Arabidopsis thaliana: one gene and its partner. The protein of the gene in region 2 interacts with the protein of the main gene of each other region in a biochemical or structural test. Each region holds a gene or a part of one and is shown on either strand. Other genes may lie near its edges. The genes, in order: FRU and EIL1.

Evidence for each region.
Region 1: the proteins of EIL1 (region 2) and FRU form a complex in vitro, tested with the Arabidopsis thaliana proteins (one study listed by BioGRID).

Annotation. Positions count from the first base shown.
Region 1 is NC_003071.7:12,002,833-12,007,037, reverse strand, and holds FRU (FER-like regulator of iron uptake), read right to left. Parts: upstream 2,381-4,205; 5' UTR 2,326-2,380; coding exon 1,849-2,325; intron 1,768-1,848; coding exon 1,567-1,767; intron 1,492-1,566; coding exon 1,315-1,491; intron 1,232-1,314; coding exon 1,130-1,231; 3' UTR 1,043-1,129; coding exon of another isoform or gene 1,035-1,042; 3' UTR 762-1,034; downstream 1-761. Other genes in the region: ATCHX7 (Cation/hydrogen exchanger family protein), read left to right, coding at 1-26, 221-667. UniProt on the Arabidopsis thaliana protein: Transcription factor. Essential protein involved in iron uptake responses. Regulates FRO2 at the level of mRNA accumulation and IRT1 at the level of protein accumulation. Confers enhanced iron mobilization responses at low iron supply.
Region 2 is NC_003071.7:11,543,927-11,548,960, reverse strand, and holds EIL1 (ETHYLENE-INSENSITIVE3-like 1), read right to left. Parts: upstream 3,306-5,034; 5' UTR 2,969-3,305; intron 2,694-2,968; 5' UTR 2,648-2,693; coding exon 893-2,647; 3' UTR 668-892; downstream 1-667. UniProt on the Arabidopsis thaliana protein: Probable transcription factor acting as a positive regulator in the ethylene response pathway. Could bind the primary ethylene response element present in the ETHYLENE-RESPONSE-FACTOR1 promoter.

The DNA of each region.
Region 1 (4,205 bases), 460 kb from region 2:
CTCAAATGCACGGCTCATGTTACAAGGTACTTGTTTTTTTTCTTTTGTAATTAAGAGATCTCATGGTTAATTTTTGGGGTCGTCTGGCTTCCAACTCAAAACAAACCGACGATTAGTATATTTGGCCCATGTTTTTTCTATACTAGTGTTGGTACCTACACATTTCTTCCGATGTGTGATCTTAACAAGTTCTAAACTGGTCTCGTGGTTTGTATTTCAGGTGTGTGCAATAGTTGTGGGAGGGAAAGACGATAAAGAAGCCTTAGCATTCACCAACCGTATGAGGAGAAACAAGCAGACAAGCGTAACCATCTTACACCTCATACCTCAACTTACTACCGAGGAAAGCGAAGACTCGGTGCAGAAGTTGGATTACGATGACATAAAAGAGATAATGAAGACTGAGGATTCAAATGAAAATGATTCATGGATATGTATAGAAAAAAGCGTCAAAGAAGGGGCTGAGACTTCAGTGATACTTAGATCAATAGCGTATGATTATGATTTGTTTATAGTTGGAAGAAGTAGCGGAATGAATAGCGCAGTTACAAAAGGATTAAATGAATGGACAGAGTTCGAGGAACTTGGAGCCCTCGGAGATGTTATAGCGTCAAAGGAGTTTCCTTCAAGGGCATCTGTCTTGGTCTTGCAACAGCAACAATATTAGAATCTTTTTGTTTTACCATGTTATGAATATCCAAAGCACAAATTAGGTTCCTAGAGTTGAGTCGGCGATCCATATAGGTCGTCTGTACTGCTTTCTCGGGGTTAAAATTCTTTATTCTTTTACCAATCAAACAGAGAACAATACATAGAATCAAGATGTGAATGGTCTTGCAACAACAAAGCAATAATACAGCCAATGAACCAAAACGTGATATATCAAAGCAAAAGAAACTTAAGACTTGAGACTATAAACAAAACATAAATATTACTTCATTTAACCATACAATTTGTCGCTAAATTACTATATAACATGGTGTTTATTCAATAGAGAATCAACAATCTCGGTTACATCATCACTAGAATAGAAATTAGAGCCCTGGAAGTTATGAAACATGTAAGAAAGGTACACAATCAATATAGTGCAGAACCGGATTTGACTCACGTTAGAGCAAGCGTTATAGAATCAAGTAAATGACTTGATGAATTCAAAACCTTGATTTAAAAGTGATCCAGTGATCCACAGCTTCAGGTTAGGCAAGTTTAAGCTCTGTTCGAAGCATGTCCCCTGTTTCCACCACACAAGAAAACTCGGTAAGTAAACGGTATACTCGGAAACAAAACAAAGTAAAAGGGCACAAGTTGATTTACATCTAAGGTATATGTTAAGAGGTATGTGTCCGGAGAAGGAGAGCTTAGGTTAGAGTTCTGCACTTGGAAACTTGTAAGAGACTCCAAAGACTTGTAAAGAGATGGAGCAACACCTTCTCCTTTGTTACACACCAATCTCACATAAAACCCTTTCTCCTCCACTTGTATAACATCCATCTAACACAACAAAACATACAAACTTTAAACACTTTGATGTTTCAAGAAGATTGATTGGTTTTTTTAGGTTATTACCTGAATGATTTTTTTGGAAGCAGGAGGATTGATACCGCGAAAAGGTTGAGTCTTTTGAGCATCAGGAGCATGTTCTTGGTACCCTCCAGTAGAGTTTAAAGAAGCTTCAAGACCCGCGATATCGGATTTGAGTTTCTTCGCTTGTGACTGAAGTTCTTGAACATACAACACTGCATCTCCAACAATGGATGCTTTATCCATCTAAATGCCAACACACACATACTTCATCAATATTTACAGTTTCATTAGTCATTACCAAATCTTGAAAATGTTGTGACTTACCTTAGTAATATTGGGAACAAGAGATCTCAATGCATAAAGCTTATCCTTCATACGCCCTCTCCTTCTTCTCTCAGAGATCAAAGTCCTAGACCGATCAGTCTTCGTCTTACGGGTCCCATCATTATTCGTAGTAGTGGCTGAAGAATCATCACCGTCGTTGTAATCTTCTTCATCTTCTTCACCACCGGCTCTAACACTATCACCGTCGAAGCTACGGAATGATTCAGCAACGTTGGAGTCTAAGTCAGGCAATTCGTCGAAGAGGTCATCGACAGGTGTTGGGATGAACTGGTTCTCGTCTATGAAACAGGGGCTGTTTTGTAATGGACCAAGATCGAAATCAAGAACTGGGTTTTCGTCAATGGTTTGATGATCTCCTCTTATGAGGTTTATGAACTGATCGAAGTTTGGATCGACCAAGAAATTGTGAAGTTCGAGATCGTTTATGTTTGACAGAGCGTTGACTCTTCCTTCCATTTGTGTGTTTTTGTCAATGAAGAAAAGTTGTTGACAACGAAAGAGAGACAAAATGAGTTTATATAATAGAGTGAGTATGAAATAAACTGTATTAATTAACATAATAAGTTAAGAAATCAATTAAAACAAATTTAAAGAAATGTACTCTTGATAGTTGGTTGATATTAGTTTATTCAGTTACGTCTTGTAATGTCATGCATGACCTGTATATTATATGTATAAATTATGTTACTCGAATGATTAATTTGTCGTGTTGCATGACAATTATATTTCCACATTGTTCTTCTTTATATTTTATCATTTGAATTTTTTTTTGTGGTGGAGGGAATGCAGATTAGAAACAAGAGTATATGTTGATCAAAAAAAAAAAAAAATATATATAGAAATAACACACATTTTTGGTCATGTCTTTATTGGGAGAAGTTTTTTAAAATTATACTACTTTCCAAAAATATCATTTTTATCCATTTTCAAAAATACCACAAATATTTAGAGTTTTTTAAAGTTATAAAATATACCAAAAATATTACTATATAATTTAGTTTATGAATACATTATTATGAGTTTTGGTTATTAAGACCTTATATAGGCATATAGCATGTATATTAAGCTCATAATATATCCTGTTACTATATAATTTAGTTTATGAATATATATGAGTTTTGGTTATATAAATAAATAAATCGATCAGACCGTATTAAAAAGGTGTTCATAAGTAAAAGTTTACTACGATATTAGACGTACAAATGTTAGTGTACTGTTTATATTTTTGAATTTAGATCCACATATATTCTTGTTTATTAAAATGTTAGGAATTAATTTGCAATCGGCTTATTACAACTGTAGATGTCAACTGGTTTAGTTGTCACAAGCTAGAATTTTAACAAAAGTTTTTCTCAACATTTTTATGTTAGTGTATTTAAAAAGTACTCCAATATGATAAATATGTTTTGTAGAAAAACGGCCAAAATTAATTTCAAATATAAACTTAAACCAGCATAATTTTCAAATAACAAACCAACTCTGGAATATAATAGCATTTCAATTATTTTCTTTTATTTTTGATAAATGCATTTCCATTTTTCAAATCATTTAAGGATAAACCGCAATTAAATTATGAAGAAGCCTGTTCAATGCACGGTTTTCGTTCTTGTCTCAACAAACAAACAAAGGATAGCAAAGAAAGACAGTATAAAATATTAAAGTCTTGGCCGGTTAGGACAAAAATCAACTCTTTATAATATTTCAAGTTGGAATATTTTTTCAGGTATATAACTGTAAAAAAAAAAAAAAAAAAAAAGTCAACCAATTATAGATTCCATCTAGGTGTTGAATTTATTAGAGAAACTGAACTTTTGAGCAACATTGGATTTTTGGGATACTCCACAACTTTCAAAAACATCAACCAATTTCCAAATAAATATTTGAATAATGCTATTATGTCAATTTAGTAGATGTTTGGTTAGATCGTGGCTGTAAATTTCGGTCTGTAATGTTTCTGATATAATCTTATTTTTGCTGTAAAATTTTTTTTCACATATAGCCTCTAGAGTTTAAAACAAATAAAAATTGTTGTAAAAACAATTCATGAATATGGCATACTTTGGTTCAAATATATTTGATACATGTGAAGCTAGCATAATTTTTACTGAAATTCTTCCTATTTCGTTTTTTTTTTGCCACATGATTATCTTTCAGTACTCCAACAAATATGACAACTCTTTTTCTTTTCTTCACTAATTGACATTTGGAACAAATACAATTTTGCTGTACCTATCACATCTTTAGAAACATAACTCTGAATAAGTCACAAACTTATGAAGCAAAATATTTTGACAAACTTTTTTCTTTTTTCCTTTTCTTTTTCCTCTAACCTTTAT
Region 2 (5,034 bases):
TAAAACTGGCAATTATATCTTTGCATTACTATATATTATGTTCAGAATATAAGAATAATAAAGAACCAAAAAATGGGTGCATGAATGTAGTCAGTTTTGGCGATGAAGAGACTAAAAGAGTGGTGGGGTTTCACAACGCATATCACATGGCCTGTCCTCCAATTCCAAAATAAAGGAGACAACAACGTTTGTCTTCTCTTCCTCCCAAAAACACTCTCACCATTTTTGGCTTTTTTCACCTTATTATTATATAAATATCCGTTTTGGATTACAATGTGGATAAAAAAAGTTACATTAGAATTTGCCAGTGGTGAAGAAGAAGCCACAGTAGCCGACACTGATGCAATTGTTGGCAACCTGTTACTATATTATTCAATTGTGTTTGACCAAACAAATTATAAGAGAATATACTTTCTACATGAAAGCAAAGAAGATAACTTATATTATAAGATAAATGCTTTTTATAACCCTATAAATATGGCTAAGCCATGTGTTTTTCTTATGATATTGATTATTGAATTGAGTTGACTAGAGAACAACCAACAAAAATGACAGACTTAACACTTAAAAGAAAAAGAGAAAAAAGAGAAGAGTTCCATATTGTTTCATGATTGTTATGCTGGCTACTTGAACTTATACGGTTAAACCCAAAGATTAAAAAATAGAACTCAAAGAATCAAACTTGTAGCATGAGAATGATGTTCAATGGATAGTGACATTATTAAAACAATGAAGCGAGTTAAATGACTTTCAGACACAAAAAAAATAGATGGCTTCATCATCATCAACAATATAGATGAGTGTTTGGTGCCAATAGAATACATACCCAAGTCAGGTAAGTAGGTAACAGAGTTATTATGAAAGAATGAATGTTACAGAGATTGTGTAATATTCAGAACCATATTGATACATCTTGCTGCTGCTGCTGCTGCTGCTGCTGCTTCCCCATTCCTTCCATTGCTCCGGTTTGCCAATCATCTCTGTAATCGAATGCTGCCATATCGAATGGTGTCGAATCAAACACCATCTGGAACCGATTGTTAACCCCGTTGTTCGTCCCTTGTTGCATAAACATTTGATTGCCACTGTTGAAATTCAGCTGCTGATTCTGAGCTGCTTTTGCATCAATGACCATGCTTTGGTTTTCCATCAAAGTAGGAGGCGTTTGGTTGCTTTGGACATTTCTGTCGTACATGGCCATAAGCTCGGTGATCATCTTCTGCCCGTTTTCCGGAACTCCAACGCCCGATAGGTCGATCGGTTGGACTGGTTGCTGAGGAACTACTAGTTTCATTCCACCCATATGAAACTTGGATGCTCCATACGCTAAACGATTGTCTCTATATGGACAAACCATCTGGTGGTTGTCCCTTGAACTCCTGTCTTGAAATCCAAGATTCATTTTGCTGTGAGGACACTGACCATTCTCACAAGTGTAACCTGCTGATCTGTCCATTACCATAACATTCATATCATTGTTCTGCTTCCTCTTTCTCGTGAACTCTAAGTTTACCGTGGTGGCGACCTCCTCCTTTATGGGAAAATGTTGCATTTTAGCAACCCCAAAGCTTGCTAGAGGATGCATCATCACTATCTCTGGTTTCCGCTCTTCCACATCGAAACCATGTTGTTCCTTCTCGAAACCTTCAACGTCATACTCGCTACAATCATTAATGAGAAGCGACCCGCTTCCTAATGATGAAGAAGAAGAAAGAGGAGGGCATGACTCGGGATAAAGCTCCCGAGCCACAACCTCTTCTTGGTTAATAATGGCAAGCCAAGTAGCACTCTCTTTCGCCGTCATCTTATCCTGCAAGCATTTTGATTGCCTCACAAGCTTACGGATCTTCGCAATATCCGGCGACATATGCTTGATCACCGCAGTTAAAACACCGACTTTCCAAGCTTTCTTCAAATCATGAGGCTTCTTATAAGGAGGAGGACCTTGCTCATTTGGTAAACCAAGCTGAGGCCACCACTCTTCATTCCCATTAGGCCACCAAGGTGGAGAAACTCCTTTCTCCAAAGGAAACCGTCTCTGCGGTGGATCACAATGTTGCATCAAAGCCGATAAAAGCGAACCAAGAGTCGTGTCCTGAAGCTCCTGAAGCGTATGCGGTGTTGGACCAACCAAGCTGTTACAATCATTACTCCCTCCAGAAATATTATTCTCTGACTGATACTTAGCAATAGCAGCTGGACCATTACGATCAAACCTAACCTTATCTTTCCACCATTCCCTCAAATTATCCGAAGCACCAGTCACAGGCTTACCCTTCTCAGGAATAATACCATAAACAAAGCCTTGAGCTTTACAAACTTCCATCATCTTCAACATATACTTCAAGATCCCATCTTGGGCTCTAGACATTTTCTTCCTCCTAGCTTGCTCTTGCGACTGCCTCTGTTTCGAACCATCGACGCCTTCTTTACACTTACTCTGTTGCTCCTTGAGACGTTTCAAACGCATTTTGTCTCTCCACATCCTCTTCTCAAGCTCATCCACATCCATCTCATCATCGGTGTAGTCGACATCTTCAACTACAGGTTCTTGTTCAGCTTGTGGTAATGGACACACATCGAGAGATGTGGAGGAAGAGAAGAAATCCATGTTTCCATACATTCCCATCTCGTTAAACATCATCATGTCTCTTCCACCACAATCAAGAACAGAGCCTATCGATTTCTTTAACCTGAAAAAGAAAAAAAAACTTATAAGCTTTCTTTGATCAAACAAATCACCAGAAGCTAAAAACAACAAATCAAGCTTAAGGGTCAAAAACAAAAAAAAAAACTAAAGAGACTAAGAAGTAATGTTCTCATATCAATACATAGATTGTCAAAATGAATATTATAGACAATAAAACCAAACGATCTAGAAAGAACAGAGAGCCAAAAAAAATCGAAAGTATTATCAACAAAAAATAGAAACAATAATAAGATAAGAAAAGAGACAAAGAGTGTTTGCCTGAAAGAGTTGCAAATAAAGAACACCAAAAGTGGTATCTCTCTCTTGTTTTATAAAAGAAACAGATAAGGAAGTCTTGATGAATCCCCACAACTTCAGAGATGGAGAATAAGAAGAAAAGTCTGTTAAAGATCACATGGGAAGAAAGAAAGAGACATTAATTACTGTGTGGTGGTTTCTGGGTTTGTAGAGTTTGAAGATGAAAGAGAGAGAGAGAGAGAGAGAGACAAGAGGAAGAAGCAGATGCTTTGGTGGGGGGATTTAAAAGATTTAATAACGTCGCACCGTTTCAGTTTTTTCTCACTTTTTTCCAAAATATATAATAAATAAATGAGCATTGATTGACATTTTTAGGATCAAAATGAATGCAATATTCAGTCATAGTCGGTCCGGTCCACAACACAAGATGCGGTAATTGCAGTGTTTGGGAACCAGACCGGGCGTTCGGACCTGTTCTACCGGGATCGCCCGTCTAGTCCAATCCGAGTTGAGTCTACTGTTCACCGCTAAAAAACGCTAAAACTGATCAATATAAAAAAACGGGAATAACAAAATCTAAATCGGAAAAATATTACTAAAATTAAATTTATAGTAAATATTGATTTATATCTTTAAATTTCAACAAAACTAAATAGATATTAAATTTCTGTTGATTTTTCTAATAAATACTGAATATTCGTTGACAATGGCAATGGCTTGAAATGCTAATTAATAAAAATTTGACAACGACCAGATTACACGCATATATGATCCGCATGCAAAAGATGAACAACAACAAGCGCTAGAAAAGGATGAACGTTGTAGAGGTAATAATATGATAACATTAGATCCAAATAGCAAAAGCTCATTAGAATAGTTATGTTACTTTATAATTGGAGACAAAAATTTCACTTTGCTTTCAAAGCAGATTTAATATATAATTTTTGTCTCATATTGAAGGTACCATTGCTTTATAGGAACAATGTTGACGATTCCAGTTTCGGTTGCATCTGCTTAAAGAAGTTTTTCAAAGCTGAAGTTGATCAAATCGTATCTTCGGTCGACTATGTCACAAGAAAGATTGAGTGAGTTGGCTATATTATCAATCGAAAGAGAATTGGTTAGAGACATTGATTTTGAAAGCTTGGTTAACGATTTAGTGGAGAGGAAGGGTCAACAACTGTTTAAGAACTAATATTTAGTTTGTCAATTTTCTTTTTCTTACATGACAATGATGTTTATTTTTTGTAGACGATTTTTTTTTTCGTAAGGATATTTTATTTTTATTCGCTTCTGATACTTGATAGCGCTCGTACGACTCTGGAAACTCAATAGTATATATGAAGCTAAATACGCTCTATATACCACATTTGATGAATTTATGCCTTGAGTCAAGGCATAAAATTCATCTAATTTAGGGATTTTTTGCTTTGACGAAAGCATAGACGAAAGATATAACCTGAGAGAAGGCAACACTGATTCAGTCGAAGACAAGTGAAAACATTCTTCTATCAATACAAGATCGTAACATAAACGTGAACAAGCTCTACTAACTACGAATAATGATAATGGGCTCCATATTTAAGTTATATAGGCAAATGTTTTTGACTTTTGTAACAAAATCAAATTTATCTTCACTTTTCCTAACCTTCCTTTCGCCAACCTCCTCACCTGAGACATGAAGAAGAAACTCTCATGGATCTTAGAGTAAATACATAAATTTCACAGCTCGTCTCATCTTGTACATTGATTTATACATTGTCTCATATACCATCCCTTACACAGTATTAAACACCACTTGTACAGAGTTAAACACACCATCTTGTATACTATCTTTTACATAATCTCACATTATCTTGTACACGGCCTTGTACATCATCTTATACACCTCTGTTTATACCATCTCATACATCCCTTCACGCACACAGCCTAGTATATTATTTTGTACTGAACCATATGAATTATCCCATACACCGTCTTATACACTACCTCGTATACATTTTTGTAAATTGTCCGATACTCTCATGTGATGTAATTTTAACCATAAATACACATTACGCATATGCGTGGTATGTCATTGGAGTAAC